Struthio camelus: one gene and its partner. The protein of the gene in region 1 interacts with the protein of each later gene in a pairwise test. Links are inferred from orthologs where the notes say so. Each region holds a gene or a part of one and is shown on either strand. Other genes may lie near its edges.

Region 1 (9,666 bases):
CTCTGGAAATAAGGCAGAGGGGGTTGCCTTGTTCTTAAAATTTACATTAGGGTTATCTGTGGTTAAAACAGTCGGTGCCCTCTACTCTACAGGATGAGGAGACATCCTCTAGAGGATGCAAGATTCATGTAGCAATGCAATGCAGTTTAAAAGCCCATTTCATTTAAAGCAGTGCATGTTACAAGGCAGGTAAGCCTCTTCCTTTTCAAGTGTAAGGCAGTGCTGGCTAAAAGAAGCCTTTCACTTCAGGAGTAACTACAGCATGAGGATAACAATGTACAAATTGAATACATCCACTTGGCACCACAACTTAAGACAGTATTTTAAAGCTAAGTTAGAAAATGTACACTTGCTTTTCAAGCTCATGAAAAAGTTGGTGAGTAGCATTGTTCTTGCTTGCTGCTGTACAAAGCTTTAAATGCACAGGACTTAAGTTTTACATTTACATAGCACTACTTTCCAGGCATCTCGCCACTGCTGCCTAATTCACAGCCCTGAAGCACATGCCAAAGCTCTGTACAGTATCTGAAATGATGTATTTAAACCTACAACTTCCAGGGGCATTTAAATTGGATCTTTAAACATTCATTTTTATGAACTAGAAAAAAATCCCTTTCTCAGTCTTGAGGTTTTGACTATTTTTCATCTTTTAGACTTAAAAGTCTATCTGGATATGTCAGTCCCTGCCAAGATATCCTCCCCCCCCCCCCTTTTAAGCTTACACCTCCATATTGAGGTGTTCTACAGTTAAGTAAGCCTTGAGAAAGTAACAGTAGCTTTTTCCCCTGGGGCTATCTTCTACTCCCAACCAAGAACCAAATTTAGTTGTAAGAGCACCTAATTTCCCTCACTAGACAGAATGCTCTGCACAATGCGTAAAGCCGTGAGTGATCTCTAAACCCCACTGAGTGCTCTCCACTCCAGTACAGGTGTGGCTAGAGCCTCCCCATTAGCACCTGCAGACATCACCTTTTATCACTCAGAGACTGGGATAAATAGCACTTCACTTTATTAGTCACCTGGGCATATTTTTCAAAAGAGACTTCCATTACCTTAAATAGCAACTCTCTGCAGACTATGTGAGAATTAAAGTCAAAAACTATTGCCATGAAGTGAAAACACTTTATTTTTATAAAAGGAAATACTTAAAACAAACCCTACCAGTGTGTACATTGTACACATTTGAATGACACTTACAAGAATGAAGTTTTCATATACATTTCAACGATAACAAGCCCACACTGGTTAAGGATGTACACAAGCACAAATTCAACTTCACAGATGCCTCAACTCCGGATCACAGTACCAATTACTCTAACCACACTTGCAAAGCATTTTCATTATTAGTATCCATGCTACTTTAATCCACTACAAACTGTACACAGAAAGCAAGAAGGAGTTTATTCATAGAGAGTATATATTCATAGAAAGGGTTTATTTGCTGGAATCATCTCTCACTCTTCTGTTGCCATCTTCAAGAGATATTCTTTGTCAATTTTGAAGAGCCTCCACCCCTCCTCAGTGGACAGATCAGAGGCCCCCCTTCTCTTGTAGAACCTGATGGAAGGCTCGTTCCACTCTGCAACGAGGAAGTGCATACTGCTGCAGCGGCACTTGACAGCAACCTGCAAGAGTGTGCAGCAGTACAAATTTAGAGCAAGTCTTCACTAAACCTAGTAGAAACTGGTGAAAGCACTCAGCAACTAACTGCATGTTGTCAAAGTTTTTAAAGCTCTGTCTAGCATCCTGTCACCTCCTTCAATAGGTCAGCTATGTTAATTCTGAGTACTGTTTAAGGGGAAACTCTCATGCAGTTAGAACAGCACTGCTTTGTCACGTGTCCTCAGTTCTGCTTTTTTAGACTTATCGCTTTGACATACCTGACTCAAGTTCTTCAGAATTTCTGACCCAATGCCAAGCCCTAACAAGGCAAAGAAAAAAGTTTCAGTTTTAGAGAAGCCCCTGTAACTCCTCATCTAGTGCCATAAAACCTACCTCTGTATTCAGCCATCACATAAAAATCTTCAAGATACAGCAGTTTTCCAATCCACGGATCATAAGTGAAATAGTACATGGCAAAACCCACGATGCTGTGTTCTGAAACAAAGGGTGCAACTTTAGCTAGTCTGAATTTAAAAGGCAACATATTAATTCAAGCCTTACATGCATGTTTAAATATAGTCCCTCTTTCTGTAACATGCAGCTGTTTGTTATCAGGTTAGAATTACAATTGAAGTTTGCAAATAAGCACACAACTGAAAATGAGTTCTGACAAAATTTTATTGACTTAATACAGCAAAGATTGCCCTCTTCATACCCTGAAAGCCTCAAGAGCAATGTTACAGTAAATACTGAACACTTAAGACTTTTTTCTACAAATACACACCCTACCAATTTATTACTATTTCCGTTGTGGAATACAAGTCAAATTTTACACGGCAGTTCAGAATCTAGATTGCCCCAACTCTGCTTCCTTAGCGACCAGAACAGACTAACAAACTCTAGAGAGCACTGATCTTACAATTTGTATTCCTCAACAATTACTGTGCGAGAAAGGCATGCTTGCTGACCACATTTACAGCGGCATTTCTAACACTTTAAACTTAGGCTTGGCACTGATAGCATCATGCCCTTCTCTATCTCCGGCACCAGAAAATTTACCTACTGTAAGTAAGGAAAGCTGCTGCTTCAAATGTAATTCTGTGGCTCAACACAGAAGAGAAACCAACTCTTCCAACAGCAGCACTCTTGGTTCTAACTCTTGAGAATTAAAACCCTATCTGCTCTAATGCTCTACACATACTGTAGGAGAAGCGTGCACACAAATTTCTGATCTACCGTGTTTTTTGGTAAAGGTTTGGGAATAACACTTGTCCCTGTAGACCTTACCTCATATTATGATCATCTACTTTATTGTGTAACGGATCTTTTAGTTACCTCCCCGCCCATCCATGTACACAGAAGGGCCATGTACATGGCGAAGCTAGAGACTGTAACCTGAAGATTGGGGACAAATTGAAGAAAAAATGTGATTCAACAGAATTACATAAGGTAAGTTAGGGTCAAACAAAAAAAGCCATTTAATTAACTGGAATTAAAGTACATTATATTATACCTGATCTTCCCACATCTCCAGGATTAGTGACTACTTCAGAGAGCATCACTGTATGTTACTCCATTTTTAACAGTTAACCTAGTCCTCCTGCCCCAGTTCATTGGTGGAACCTTACGTACAATCAACAACATTCAGACATCTCTTGTGTATTGAGCATCAAAACACAAGCGGCAGGAAGTCTCACCTTCAGGCGACCACTGTTCTTTCGGCACTTCTGCAACAAGACAGTGGTAAAAAGGATGCTCGCCAAAACCATCCTCAAGCAGCTCTAGAAAAGGAGAAGAAAATTGTCACCTAAGCCACAGGTCTTGCCACTAGGCTATCAACCAGGTCAGCAGCTGCTGCTTGTATACCTTTCTCCGTCAACACCACTTGATCCTCCATGTCCTCGTATTTCGCTAGTTCCTGGAAGAGAAGATACATGTAAGCGGGCTGTCCCCGCAGGTCTCCCCAGCCGCCTCCTCATTGGCCGCTCGCAGCCTTGCGCAAGAGCTTGTTTTTGCCCAGAGAGAAGGGCAGCCGTGACATTCCCCCCCGCCCCCGCCCGCGCCGCCCCGAGGCGGGTCGCTCCCCCACCCCCACCCCCCGCGGGGCGCTGACGAGACCCCCCGCCCGCCCCTCCCCCCAGCGCGGCGACGCCGCCAGGGAACGGCCGGTCTCGCGCGCTGTCCGAACGACGCCCCCAACCGCCGCTTCCCCTTCTCTCTCCTCCCCCCGCCCCCGGGCCCCCGGCCCGCCGCGCACCTTGATCAGTCGCAGCAGGTCGGGGCAGTCCTCAGGTCGCGCGGCGCGGATACGGAACGAGGCCATTTTCGACGGCGCTTCCCCCTGCGACCCCCTCGGCTGACGAGTCCCCGATGTGTGAACAGGAGGAGCAACTGCTTCTTCATTCGTGTCCCGGGCGCGGCGGCCACCTGCGGTCAGTCAGGCTGCGAGCATGTCCCGGCGGCGGCGGCGGCGCTGTGCAGGCGGGCAACTCCCGTCCCTCCACCGCTCTGACCCCGACCCGAAACTGTGTGCCGAAGCCCCCGCCGCGCTCCTTATTTATAGATACCCTCGCCCCGCCTCTCCCCATACGCAAGCCAATGGGAGCGCCCGTAGTGCTCGCCCTCAGCCAATGACAGCGCCCCTCCGCCGAGGCTTACTTCACCCTGCCAGCAACAGCTGGTGCGGGGCTGTCTCGTGACTCCCGGCTCCCCCCCCCCCCCGCACGCGGTGGCGCCCCCTAGCGGAGCCGGGCGGCGCTGCAGGACGCCCCCGCCGCAGCCAGCCCGCGCCTCGGGGGCCGCCGCGCCGTCCGCACCCGCGGACCTCGCCGCGCCCCCAAACCCCGCTCCGCGGCCTGCGGGCCTCCGCCGCAGCGGCCCTCGGGGCTGCGCCTGGCAGGGAGCCCTCCGGGGTCCCCCTCGGGCGGTGTGCCTGCGGCTAGGGGATCGCCTCGTGCGGCGAGGAGCGCCTCGACGCCGCCATCTTAGCTGCGGTGGCGGCCAGCTAGGTATTCGGTGGTGACTTGAAAGCAAGTTATCTTCCCTGCCGTGTGAGGGGGAGGGGGAAGCCTTTGTACCTGCTTGAAACGTCCAGGAGTGCCACAGCGATCCCTATGAGCCCTCGCACAGATAGTTCTGGTCCTCTGCCTCCTCCACGCGCGCGCCTTGGTCACAAGAAGAGACTCTCCAAAGGTTAGTAACCGGAATCCCGTACACTACCGACAAATACCCAAGCTGACCCACGCAGCAACACGTCAACCGTGCTGGTAAGTTCAATATACGTGCTCTTAAACAACCCTGGGCTCATCACAGAGGAACACAGAGCTCTCCAGGTAGGCAGTCTCCCTGACACAAGGAGCTAAAACGTATTCCTTAATTAAAAGGAAAAAGAAAGTTAAAGTCTAGTATAAAAGGCGCCCCCCTGGGAAAAGAGATCTAACTCTAAAAGATGGAAGAACACTGACTTAAAATGTTCCTGTCACAGTACTGTTTGCCCCAACTGTTATGTTTAGCTTTGAATGAAAGACACTAGTGTACGTTACGTATTAATTGTGGTCATTTCTTACTATATAGCAGGATTTGCAAGTATTTGTTTATATGGAAAATACGGTTCAAAATGTGAAAAAAAGTTACACTTTGGGCTTGGAACGCTTTCCAATCTGATGGGAAAACCGTCCCCAAGCATGATAACTGACCTGGCTTACTAAACTTGCTGGGGAAGAAAGAGTAGTACTCAAGAGATACACAAAGGACAGTAGCATCTTCAAAGCAGGAGGGGTCTGCCCGTAGTCTGCTATTGGGTAAGCTCACATTCCTTCTAGAAGGAGGTATGAATGTCTTTGTGTACAGAGGTGCAATGAAGAAATCTGTCTGAATGATTAGGGGTTTAGGGTATAAAAGAAAGGAATAATTATCCCTAACCTCATTCTTCTCTAAGCCTAACCTATAGGATGTAGATGTAGACAGCAGAATGAGAACCAGATCCTCAACTAGATAATTATGAATGTCTGTAGGCCTATCAGCTAGGCCACCCAGGTAAGAAGTATAGAAATAACAATTTGGTATGTGCATGGTTTTCTTTTCGCTTCTGATGACCCATAAACTTTGCAACTATCATGACCATTCTTAGATACTGTAAAGGAGCTCTTTATTTTACGTTCGGCTTAATCTGACTTGCTTTCAAAGTGATTTGGGGTTTGAGAAAACACCAAGTCATGCTACTGTTGTAACAGTCCTTAAAACCTGGATTCCCAAACGCTCTCACAACGCTCAAACCCTATTTTCCAGTGTATCAAATGACTTACAAGGTTCACCTTCATTTAGACGTTTGGGCCAGCATGGAATGTGTTATTACAGGAGAACTTACAAGGAAGTGTATATTCTGGTGGCCAGCGTTAGCCAGGAAAATCCTTTGGCTCACAGTGGAATGTACTTCTATTCCTAGAAGAGTAGTTTTGGATGTATTCAGACACCAACTCAGGTGTCGCCAGCTCACTCTGTCACCCTCTGTTGGGGCAAAAATGACACCTGGAGATGCCCAAGGAACAGCAGCATTTCCAAAACAAAAGTGACAGCCAATGCCTACTAGGAGAAAAGATTTGTTTCAGAAGGAGTTACAGATGTGGAAATCCTTCAGGACAGGGGTTCTGGCAGGGAGACTGAATTTGAATAACTTCCCAAAGAAGAGTTCCAACCTAACTGCAAGGGATTTCATGAATATACTTTTTTTTTTTTTTTTTTTTGGTTAACTGCCAGGAAGAACCTGAACTGGGATCAGAAACAGGAAATACTTTTCTGGAAAGACTTAGTGTGTCTGTTGTGTTGACTCTTTTGTTTTTTGTCCGTTTGACAATGAGGAAGTCATACTATCAGAGAACCTAATGTTGAGTAAGAGCAGAAAGTACCTGATTCCTTTCGTTCTCAAGTTAGAAAAGTCATATGATGTTAGAAGTTGAAGTTTCAGCAGAAGACATTTTCCATCTCAAGTGTTTGTGAGAGTCCTGCTTCAACTTGCTCAGAAATATGCTGATACTGTGTTACCCCAGTGAATACAATTCATTTGAATTAGCCTTCAAATTCACAAAGGAGAAGAAAAAAAAAATTAAAAAAAATCCTGAAATATCAAAAATAGTTTCATGGACCCATATGAAATACAGAGAAGAAAAAAGAACAAAAAGGAAATGAAAAATGATGTAATTAAGAGAGCTAGATCTCAGAACCTATGCTACAATTATTGGTTATTTGCAACTATATGTACTTTTTTCAGTGTAATGGTAAGACAGTTTTACAAAGTGGTTCTAAAGAACTCCATTTTGAGAATTAATCATATTGATGGGTCTTCTGTTTCTCTCAGCTCTGCTGAGTTTTGAGAATCTTTCCTGTAATCCTGACCAAGCTGACATCAGTGATGGAATTTCTAACGACTTCCATAGGGTTAGGATTTTAGGCTTAAGTGGTCAGCCTATTTATTTACGTTTTGCCTAGAGGGAATGAGAAGAGGTAAATGTTCTGACAAGGATCACGTTATTTTCAAATTATACAATTATGCTGAAAAGTGGGTAGTAAAGGCATTTAAAGTAAATCAATTGTTGAAATAACCTGTTATAATGGCATATGCACTAAACTGGATTAGGTTAGTTCTTGCTTCTCATGTTACACCCAACAGCTTCTTCTGTGCAGAACCTGCTCCGTATGAATATTTCCACCAAAAGGGATGACACTTCTCTGTTTGAGAGGTAGAATGATTAGGATTATCTGAAAAGATGGTACATGTTTTCCTCCCATTCTCATTTTATCGCCTCACTAAACCTTGCTTGTAAGTGAGGAGCCAGAAAAATGTTATACAAAACAAAAAAAAGAAAGCAGCACTTAAAGTGTTGCAGCAGGAACTGCTTTTAATAAAAGCATACAGAACAGTTTGTATCTTAAGGCATATTTTCTCCACATCCCTCCAGAGATAGAGAGGTACTGTCTGGTCTTGAGCAACAGGCTATAGTCATGCTAGTTCCCCAAGAACCTTTCATAGGGATGCAGCTGAACAACCGATTCAGAGAACTTTGGGCCTCAGTTGGATACTTGCACTGATGACTCTTTCTATTTGCTTCTAAATTTCTGGATTTCATCTTCTTTCAGAGACTGGAGGAAAAGGCTCAAAGTGGGGACCAGCTTGCTTTCTTCAGTGTTCAATTAATCAAGCTCCTCTTTACTTCTGGTATTTCAATTTTTGACTTCCTCCTTCGCTAAGAAGATTCCTTGAATTCCTGTATGAATGCCTCTCTTATGCCTCAAAAGTTCTCTGTTTATAATAAATAAAAGAAGGAAGGATAGGGACTTTTTATTCCACATTAAAATGTGGAATGTAATTTTCCACATAATATTCCACATTAAAATGTGGAATACTCAAAAATGTTAATCATTTTTGAGTATAGTATTAAATGGATCTCAAACATTTCAATCCAAATCCAGATCTCATCTCAAATCTTTGGAGCAAAATACAGAAAATACACATTAAGTTAACATTCAGTGTTGACCTGTTAATTTTTCCAGACACCACTACTCTTTGGACAGCATTCAGGATTTTCTCTGCATTTTCAACTGAATAGTTATTGTCTAATACTCAGAACTAGCTGTGATATTTATGAGCTCCCAGTTGCTGCCAGATTTTTTTTCAAGCAACTTACAATAACAGTTTTTATCAACACTGAGCTGCACATAAAAAAAATATATTTCTATAAAAAAGTAAATAAACATTGCAGTAGCACTTCAGAATCTGGGGCAAATGCAAAATTAACAGTTTCACATAATAAAACTATATATTTCCATATACTGGAAATAAAGGCCCAACCTTCTGCATTATTACATTTGAAGACATATTTTAGGCCACTGCAATCCTATTCCTGTAAGCTGATATGCCTTGACAGGCATTTGCAATTATGCAATTTGATGAATTTGGGATTTAGACATCTAATTGTCTGATTGCACCCACAAATTATCAACATCCTGCCTGCAAATAAGGGTTATAAAAACAGTAGAAACAATTTTGGAAAACAATCAAAATGGGCCTTAGTTTTATAGCCTTCAGTTTTGGATACGGTAGATGTGCCTTCGATTCTGATCTCGTGACTTACTTAAATTGGCGTTCTTGGGCTCAATTTCTCAGACTTTAAAAAGAAACCTGAGGAATATGAATTTTCCTTTCAAACAAGCGGGGATTCCCAGGAGGAACAGGTGTTCTTTTTATACATCACTATCACAGTTTTTATCTTTTGTCACAGACTTTGCTCTGTCCTCAGGTGATTCTTTATGGTATTTTGGTTTCTGATTCTTCAGCACATGGCCACCATCCATACCAGATTTCCATTTTTTTCTACAACTAGATGAGCTAGAAGCTTTCAAATAGCTCTTTCAACTTTTTTCTCTGCAGATACATGGAGCTAGTACGGCAAGTAATAAGAGTCACATGATTGTGTATGGGGTCACACGTACAAGGGCTGTCGCTGGGGATGGGACTTGGGATTACAGTTGTTTTAAGGATGTGAAGCAGCGAAGAGGAACTTTCCCTAAGATACAGCACAGTCGTCTCCTCCTCCCCCCTGACTCCTGCGCAACCCAGGATCATGCACCAGCATCAGCTGTGGCAGTTTATGCAGACATGAAGTAGGGGAGAAGTACTCATACCACATACACGACAGAAAAAAAGCGCTGGTAGCAAGAGTCGGTTCTGAGTGGGTTTTGCTGAATTTACGAGACATTCATTCATTCTCTTTTGAAAAAACAGGAAAACAGTAATCTATCACAACCTCGTACTAAAGGGATAATAATACTGTTTCTCAGTTAATGTGGCTCCAGTTTAGTCTGACTGGAAAATATCAAAAAGAGAGAAAAAAGACTGATCAGGTGTTACTCTTGAAAATAATGAATAAATTGGTTAATGTACTCACTTCCACTGTTTGCTAGAATGTGTGTTTTCTCATATTCTTGTACAATCTCAGTGTTATATTTTTAAGTCCTTAGCAGTGTATGCGTGACTTAATTCCATTGCTAACTCCTACAAGGACTATTTTG
Region 2 (9,278 bases), on another chromosome or scaffold:
CCAGCAAGCAGAAATCAAGACACAAGGAAAAATACAGAGGAAAGCACCAAAAATTCACAAATGTAAGGGTTAAATCTCAAAAGCCTTTCATGTATGTCTAATACTACAGAGTCAGAGAAGAAACAGTTCTTCCAAATACGACGTATCTAAAATGTTTCATCTTTCCTCTACTCCGGAGCATAAAGAGATTTCTTTCTTTCCAGTGAGCAACACAGTTTCAGCAGTCTCTCTGATCACCACAGAAACCTACAGCTGCCTGAAAACATCACACAATACTGGCTCCTCTCACTACAGATGTAACTATTTCAGCTCACAACACTGCATACCATTCTCCAACCCGACAGCCATGCTGTTATCTGTACCAGCCCTTCTCCAAGGCATACAGAGCTAAAACACACATTTCCAGGATTGTCAGCTCTACAGAGGTAATATACCCAAGAAGTAACAGCATTACAAGAACGGCTCTAAAGCTCCTGAGCTGTTTTCAGAACCAGGGGCATATGCAGCCCCAATTCAGCTCTGTCACGTGACAGGGAGACACATGCTGAGGGCTCTCACATTTCTATCCAGGAAACCCTAAATGAAAAAGCAGGTGTACTCAGAAGTTTTTACGCAGCAAACAGCCCGGGCCAGGGCCACCCTGGAGCCGATGCCTCACTGCTCACGTGGAGATGGATCAGCAGAGCTCATGTTCTGCATTCAAACTGTTCCCAATCCACTGGACCAGTTGAGTGCACCAGCCCAGCTAAACCGCGCACAGGCTCTGGTCTTTGCTCCTCTGGCCACACTGCCAGGCATCCAGAACACACAGGCACACACACCAGCTGTGGAGTCCCAACAGAAGAGGCCAAGGGGCTAATCCCCTTTCATTCCCCCCACAGGACACGGGGCAGGCTTCCAATGTTGAATTGTTACTCAAAAAGCCCCTTTCCTTATGTGCTTCTTACAATAGTTCTACCAGCAGGTACTTTGTGCTGAGATAGACTACAAGAAGGGCTCTTAGCAGAAAATGACAACAAAATACTGTAAGAAAGAAGTTCGATGCTTAATTTACATTGTTTGGGTTCTTCGTGTCATTCTCTCCAAAATAAACGCTTCACTGAAGATTAATCCAACAGCCCAGCCCTGTCCACAATGTAGAGCTAAAGTAGTTGTGCAACGAAGGAAGCAGAGAAGCAATCTCCGTTTCAGAATCCCAGGGGTGCTTTTCTCCTCATATGCTTTGCATAACCTCAGTGCTCATGAGAGCACATGGGCAGCAAGAATAGCACAAGGTCTTACTCAGGGAGACGTCCTAGGAACTTTCCCTTTGCAACTGTAAAATATCTCCCTGGATGCAAGGCAGAAACACCTGCATATTCTATGGGCTTCCTAACACAACCCTCAGCCAAGTAGTGTTGAATCTGCTCCAGGCCTAGAGCCTGCAGGAGAGCCTGGTCAGATTGTGCAGCAATTTGGGGATAGCACACTTCAATTAGTGTGTAAGGTCAGTACCCCCAGCTAACAAACTGGGGCATTAACTGGGGAAGATGGACAGCCTGCACTTCTGAAGAAACATTAACATGCATCTACTTATTATTTCTTTAAGCTCCATGCTTGTGTCCCTGCCCCTGATGCTCACATTCTCAGCCTGTGACAAAACCTACAAGTAATAAGAAACACTTCTCTGTCACTAACACAAAGCCGCTCAGCTCAAACAGAAGCAGGAAAATAAATGTGGCAGCCCTCTTTCCATACCTTGTGTGGCTACAGTCATCATTACTAAATATCTGCAGTTTATTTACCGTTTGGTCCTGCTGATCTGCATCTTCCCCATCTCTCTGCCCATCACCTTCTGTCTCTTTAGTTACAGGCACTCCACCATTCCCTTCTGCTACATCTTGCTCTTTGAGCCTGGCATCTACTCGCTCCTCTTTGAATGATGGGTCATCCTCCAATTCTTCATTGGTAATCTGTGCAAACAGAGGAATAAGATGCAGAAACAGCAGGCACGTAGCTAGCTTCTGCCCTCTCCTGCTTCCAGCAGGACAGAATTTCATAGGAATCTGCTCTGCTCACACCTGGAAGTGAAAGAGGAGAAATCCACAAGCGTGACAGAAGCAGAGCAGGGCTCAGCTTCCCCAGTCATCTTCTCCAGCAGCTGAATGGGGCACAATGGCTCATTTAAAGAGTGTTGCCTAGTGGGCACCTGGAATGGCCTAACATCCACTGACTTATCAGAAGGGAGCACAGGGCCACAACAAAGCGTCCACTACGCAGCGCAGCGGCAGAAAAACATGGCCCTGTCTGGACTCTGCTCGTCTTTGGGAGGAGTCAAAAACCAGCTTTGGCCACACTCACACAGCCAGGCCCTGGGGAAGGAGAGGTAACCACTGCCCAAGAGAAGCACTGGGGCTGGCCAAGAGTGGAGGGACTAGACTGCCCCACCGAGGACCAACGGTGCCATCAGGGCCCACGTGACCCCAGACCTTCAGCTCTAGCATCTTGCAGGAGTGGAAAGGTGGCAGAAACACTGCCAAAAACAGCATCGTGCCCCGATACTCAGACCCAGCTCCGACAACACCTGCCCATCCCACCTCTCCCCACCACATCCGTCTAATGCTCTACACCTGCAGTGTAGTCCCTCTTGTACAGTCGCTCGCAACCCTGCTCCCCATGCCCACCCCAGCTTGTACTGCTCAGCGCCCCCTCCCCTGCTCCTAAACACTGCTGCCCCTCACACCCTTCCCTCCATCCCCCTGACTCTTCCGCTGCCCCCCTGCTGATTCCTCTCACCTCCAGCCAGGCCATTGCCACCTCCCTCAGCCCCAGCCCACTCTGTCCCCAGGCCACCCCCACCCCACATGCAGCACATCCCTCAGACTGCTTCTCAGTGCACCCCACTTTCTCCCCTAAACCTCCCCAGGATTCCCCCACCACTTCCCCCCAGTCCATCTGAGTCCTTTCAGTCCGCGCTCCCAGCTCAGCCCCAGTTGCTGCCCCCTCAGGCCACTCCCCACCCCTCAACTCACCGCCACCCCCCAGGACCCTCCTCTTCCAGCTCCCCAAGTCACCTCCAGTTCTCCCCCAAGACACTCTAGTCATTGTCCCCCATGACCCTCTCCCCTCCAGGGGCCACCCAGCCACCACCACCCCCATCGCTCCCCACTCCACACCTCCCAGGACCTGCCCCCAGTCACTCCCTCTCCTCAACCCCCTCCCAGTGACCATCCCGCTTTGGTCCCCTCCCCAGACCCCCTCTCAGGAACTGTCACCTTGCTCATTCCCACCCAGCCACTGCCCCACCACCACTGTCACCCTTCCCAGTCACTGTTATCCCATCACTGCCCCCCCAGTCACCCCCTCACAGTCACTCCTCCCTCAGTCATCTCCTTCCAGTCACTGTCACCCTAGTGGCCCCCTCCCAGTCACCCCCTTCACAGTCACCCCAGTCACTCCTCCCCCATTCACCCCCTTACAGCCACTGCTACCTCATCACTGCCATCCCAGTCACCCCCTCCCCAGATACTCCCCTCACAGCCACCCCCTCACCCCCCCAGTCACTGTCACCCCAGTCACACTCTCCTCCAAATACTCCCCTCACAGCCACCCCTCATAGAAGTCACCCCATCACCCCCTCCCCCAGATACTCCTTCACAGCCACCCCCTCATAGAAGTCACCCCATCACCCCCTCCCCGCCACTGTCACCCCACTCACCCCCTCAGAAGTCACCCCTTCCCCACCCCTCCCCAGTCACCCCCTCACAGAAGCCACCCCGCCACTGTCACCCCACTCACCCCCTCACAGAAGTCACCCCTTCCCCACCCCTCCCCAGTCACCCCCTCACAGAAGCCACCCCGCCACTGTCACCCCACTCACCCCCTCACAGAAGTCACCCCTTCCCCACCCCCTCCCCAGTCACCCCCTCACAGAAGCCACTCCGTCACTGTCACCCCACTCACCCCCTCACAGAAGTCACCCCCTCACAGAAGCCACTCCATCACTGTCACCCCACTCACCCCCTCACAGAAGTCGCCCCTTCCCCAGTCACCCCCTCACAGAAGCCACCCCGTCACTGTCACCCCACTCACCCCCTCACAGAAGTCGCCCCTTCCCCAGTCACCCCCTCACAGAAGCCACTCCGTCACTGTCACCCCCACTCCCCGCCGCCGCCTCCGCCGCCCCTCACCAGCTCGAAGCGGTTGCTGACGCCGGGCCGAGCCGGTCCCCGGCAGCGGCCGGGGGCAGCGGCATCGCCCGGCGGCTCCTGGCAGCGGCCGGGGCCGGAGGCCAGGCCCAGCTGACCCAGGCCCGGCTCCTCCTGGCCCCGCTGCTCGCCCCGCAGCCGCCGCAGGGCCCGCCGCGACATGGAGCTGCGCGCCGCACTGCGCCTGCGCGCGCCTGCGCGTCCGCCCCGCCCCGCGCCTGCGCCCCCCGGCCCCGGCCCCGGCCCCGCCCCGCGGCGCGCGCAGGCGCAGTGCGGCGGCCCGCCATCAGCCTCGCGCCTCCCCCAGCCGCCGCAGCGCGAAATCTGTCTCGAGGGGGGGCACGGCCCGGGGACGGAACGTCCGGGGGAAACACGGCCTGGGGAAACATGGCCCGGGGGGATGCCACGGAGAGGCCAAGGCCTGGGGGGTATCGCCCTGGGGGAGGGCAGCGTGGGGTATCACCCTGGGGGGGGGCACGGTGTGAGGGTATCGCCCTGGGGGGGCAGCATGGGGGTATCGCCCGAGGGGGGGGCATGGCCTGGGGGTATCACCCCGGGGGGGGCAGCATGGGAGTATCACCCTGGGGGAGGCACGGTGTGAGGGTGTCGGCCGGGGGGGGGGGGCAGCATGGGGGTACCACCCTGGGGGAGGCACGGTGTGAGGGTGTCGCCCGGGGGGGGGGCAGGGGGGTATCACCCTGGGGGAGGCACGGTGTGAGGGTGTCGCCCGGGGGGGGGCAGCATGGGGGTACCACCCTGGGGGAGGCACGGTGTGAGGGTGTCACCCTGGGGGGGGCAGCAGGGGGGTATCACCCCGGGGGGGGCATGGCGTAAGGGTATCGCCCCCCACCTCACCCCCCACCACCGCCACGGCCCCGTTGCCCCCTGCGCTGGCCCGCGGCCCCGCTCCCGCGCAGCATCACCCCCCGGGCAGCCCAAAGCCATTTATTCGCGGGGGGGCCGGGGGGTACAGAGGGGCCGCGGCGACGCGGCCGGCCGGTCGGCAGGCACCGAGGCGTCCCGGTGGCGCGGGCTCAGCACCGCGCCAGGTCCGGCAGCCCCCGGCGCCTGCTACGGAGAGCCGCGGAGCCACATCCCCAAATATATAAATATAGAGGCTGTCTGTGTGTCCTATGTATATATGTACAGGGGGGCGGCCGCCAGCCCTCACTGGTGCCAGGAGGCGCCGCGGCGGGCGCGGGGCGGCGCGGCGTTGAGCGCGGCCACGCTGCGGCGGCTGGAGCGGATGACGTCGGCCACGAAGCCGGTGCAGTCGCTGCAGACGTCGCGGAGCACGGCGCCCTGGGCGTAGATGTGGGGGAACTCCTCCTCGATGCGGCGCCAGCGGGTGCCGGGCAGCGAGCTGTGGGCACCGGCCGCGCCGTCAGCCCTGGCCCGTGCCACGGCGCGGCGCAGCATGGTGCGGCACGGCACGACGCGGTGCCGGATAGCACACCATGGCACGTTGCTGGATGGCACGGTGTGGTGCAGTGCAGCACGGCATGGCACGGTGCCGGGTGGCACGGCATGGTGCAGTGCAGCACGGCACATTGCCACATGGTACGGCATGGTGCAGCACAGCATGGTGCGGTGCAGCACAGCACGGCATGGCACGGTGCCGGATGGCATGGCATGGTGCAGCACGGCATGGGGCAGAACGGCACAGCGCAGTGCAGGATGGCACAGCATGGTGCGAGGCAGCACAGCATGGCATGGCACAGTGCCGGATGGCATGGCATAGTGCGGCACGGTGTGGTGCAGCACAGCACAGCGCAGTGCAGGATGGCACAGCATGGTGCGGTGCAGTGCAGCATGGCATGGCACGGTGCAGCACAGCATGGTGCGGTGCAGTGCAGCATGGCATGGCACGGTGCAGCACGGCATGGTGCGGGGCAGCACAGCATGGCATGGCACGGTGCTGGATTGCATGGCACGGGGCAGCATGGCACAGGGCAGAATGGCACAGCGCAGTGCAGGATGGCACAGCATGGTGCGGTGCAGTGCAGCACGGCATGGCATGTTGCTGGATGGCACAGCAAGGTGCAGCATGGCATAGCACGGTGTGATGCAGGATGGCATGGCATAGCGCGGTGCAGCATGGCACGGCGCAGTGCAGGATAGCACAGTGCGATGCAGGATGGCACGGCATGGTGCAGTGCAGGATGGCACAGCACGGTGCAGTGCAGGATGGCACGGCACAGCACAGTGCAGGATGGCACAGCACGGTGCAGTGCAGGATGGCACGGCACAGCACAGTGCAGCACAGCACAGCGTGGCATGGCATAGTGCGGTGCAGCACGGCATGGCGCGGTGGGGGCTAGGGTGGGCGGTGGGTCCCGGCACTCACTGGAAGGTATCTCTCTGCCGCAGCGGTGGGGCTTTGGTGCCCAGCGGCCCCGGGAGGCTCTCGAAGCCCAGCGCGTAGACAGGGATGTGAGCCAGCTTCTTGGAAGGCATCTTCATCTGCCGGGGAGGCGGGCGGGCGTCAGCACTGGGGGCTGTGTCGTGCCAGGGCCAGGACGTGTGGGCTCAGCCCAGCGGCGCAGCCCTCCCCGGAGGACGCCTCCGTCCTGGGGCGGCCCACGGCAGCCCCCGCACCCTGGCATGAGCCGTCCCTTACCTTGAGGCTGCAGGAGGTGCAGACAGACCTGGGGGCACAGAGAGAGGCTGGTCAGCAGCGGCACCCACGGGCACCCTGCAGGCCCCCTCCCAGCCCTGCCGCACAGCTTGGAGCAGCACGGCACAGCATGGCATGGCACTGTGCAGCACAGTATGCTGTGGCATGGCACAGCACCGTGCAGCATTGCATGGTGCGGCACGGCACAGCATGGCGTGGCACGGTGCAGCAGAGCGTGGTGCAGCAGTGTGGTGTAGCACAACGCGGTGCAGCACAACGTGGTGCAGCATGGCACGGCATGGCATGGCACCGTGCAGCACAGCACAGTGCTGCATGGCAAAGTGCAGTGCAGCAGAGCATGGTGCGGCACGGGACGGCACAGTGCAGCACGGCATGGTGTAGCACAGTGCAGCACGACGTGGCGCACAGGGTGGCTGCTCACCGCTTGCAGAAGAGGCAGGCCGTGGGCCAGGAGAACAGGGGGAACTTGGCCCTGCAGCAGCAGCAGACCTGCGGGGAGAGGGGCCGGGTAAGAGGTGGCCGGGGCCCTGCAGCACCGCAGGCTCTTCCCCCGCTCCCACCTTCCCTTTCTTCAGGCTGTTGTACAGCTCCTTGCTCTGCAGGAACTTCTCCATCTCGGCCTTGACCAGCACCCGGCGCACGTTGATCATTTCCTCCACGGTGAGGGCCAGGCTCTCCACGGGGTGGCTGAACTCCTGCGTGCAGAAAGGGGCCGTGAGCCTGGCCTGCCGCATGGCCCGGTGCCAGCTACGGCCCAGCTGCTCCTTGGACATGCATGTCCCCAGGACATGTGTGGGCAGAGTGTCCCTGGGGCACGCGTGGGCAGAGCGTCCCTGGGACAGGCAGAAGAGTGTCCCTGGGACAGGCAGAAGAGTGTCCCTGGGGCACGCGTGGGCAGAGCATCCCTGGGACAGGCAGAAGAGTGTCCCTGGGGCACGCGTGGGCAGAGAATCCCTGGGACAGGCAGAAGAGCGTCCCCAGGACATGTGTGGGCAGAGCATCCCCAGGACACGTGTGGGCAGAGCATCCCCAGGACACACGTGGGCAGAGCATCCGTGGGACACACGAGGGCAGCGTGTCCCCGGGAGACGCCCTGTGCAGTGGCCACATCCTGCTCCCATGCAGCACTCACCAGCCACAGGTGCTTGGAGCCGCTGGCAGGGGCAGCGCCGGAGCTGTCCTCTGGCCTCTCCTCCACGCAGCTGAGGGCACCGTGGGGCGATGGCAGCGGCGCGGTGCCATACGGCACTGGGTGGTAGCTGGCCGGCACCGATCCTGCAGGGGAAGGACACGCCATGCAGCGTGACCCTCCGGCATGGGCCTGCTGGCGGTGCAGCACGGCCGCCGCGGGGACAGCTGGGCTGCGGCGAGGCTGGGAGCGCAGGGCACGCAGCTCGGGGACAGCCCTGCAGCTCGGGGACAGCCCCAGTGGGGAGGGCGCGCGGCACAGGACGGGGCTGGTGGTTGCATGTCTTGGCATGGGCCTCGGGGCACCGTGTCCCAGCTCGCGGCATCATGTCCCAGGTCCCAGCTTGGGGCACCTTATCCCACGCCCTAGCTCACGGCTTCACATCCCACATCCCAGCTCAGGGCATCACATGCCACATCCCAGCTCAGGGCATCACATCCCACATCCCAACTCATGGCATCACATCCCACATCCCAGCTCAGGGCATCATGTCCCACATCCCAGCTCAGGGCATCATGTCCCAGGTCCCAGCTTGGGGCACCTTATCCCACGCCCTAGCTCACGGCATCACATCCCACATCCCAGCTCAGGGCATCACATGCCACATCCCAGCTCAGGGCATCACATCCCACATCCCAACTCATGGCATCACATCCCACATCCCAGCTCACGGCATCATGTCCCACGTCCCAGCTTGGGGCACCTTATCCCACGCCCTAGCTCATGGCATCACATCCCACATCCCAGCTCAGGGCATCATGTCCCAGATCCCAGCTCGGGGCATCAGGTCCCAAGTCCCAGCTTGGGGCACCTTATCCCATGCCCTAGCTCATGGCATCATGTCCCACATCCCAACTCATGGCATCACATCCCACGTCCCAGCTCACGGCATCATGTCCCACATCCCAGCTCAGGGCATCATTTCCCAGGACCCAGCTTGGGGCATCACGTCCCAGGTCCCAGCTCACAGCATCATGTCCCAGATCCCAGCTCGGGGCATCATGTCCCATGTCCCAGCTCGGGAAACTGGGTCCCAGCTCAGCCCCACGTCCCAGCTCAGGGTTCGGGGCTCCGTGTCCCAGCTGGGCTCAGCCCCGGCTCGCGCCGGGTCGGGGGCTGCTCCCCATGCTGTGAGCAGGCTGGGGCGCCGGGGGGACACATCCTCGCTCCCTGTGCGGCCTGGCGCGCGGGGTACCTGAGCGGGGCCGGGGCTCAGGCTCCAGCGGCCCCGGCGCCTGGGGCGCATCCTGGCCACCGCTCAGCT

Evidence for each region. The genes of interacting proteins can lie anywhere in the genome.
Region 2: the proteins of SAT1 (region 1) and TCF25 interact in binary tests that used the Homo sapiens proteins (3 or more experiments, as listed by UniProt). The two-hybrid records come from large-scale screens. The link is inferred for Struthio camelus from reciprocal best matches to the Homo sapiens genes SAT1 and TCF25.

The regions. Positions count from the first base shown.
Region 1 is NC_090942.1:135,361,517-135,371,182, forward strand, and holds SAT1 (diamine acetyltransferase 1), read right to left. Parts: upstream 4,189-9,666; 5' UTR 3,926-4,188; coding exon 3,860-3,925; intron 3,521-3,859; coding exon 3,469-3,520; intron 3,384-3,468; coding exon 3,300-3,383; intron 2,098-3,299; coding exon 1,996-2,097; intron 1,922-1,995; coding exon 1,881-1,921; intron 1,626-1,880; coding exon 1,455-1,625; 3' UTR 1,109-1,454; downstream 1-1,108. UniProt on the Homo sapiens protein: Enzyme which catalyzes the acetylation of polyamines. Substrate specificity: norspermidine = spermidine >> spermine > N(1)-acetylspermine. This highly regulated enzyme allows a fine attenuation of the intracellular concentration of polyamines.
Region 2 is NC_090951.1:1,801,101-1,810,378, forward strand, and holds the start of TCF25 (ribosome quality control complex subunit TCF25), read right to left. Parts: upstream 4,378-9,278; 5' UTR 4,350-4,377; coding exon 4,170-4,349; intron 1,953-4,169; coding exon 1,785-1,952; intron 1-1,784. Other genes in the region: SPIRE2 (protein spire homolog 2), read right to left, coding at 5,355-5,550, 6,535-6,650, 6,808-6,835, 7,247-7,314, 7,386-7,520, 7,958-8,100, 9,210-9,278. UniProt on the Homo sapiens protein: Component of the ribosome quality control complex (RQC), a ribosome-associated complex that mediates ubiquitination and extraction of incompletely synthesized nascent chains for proteasomal degradation.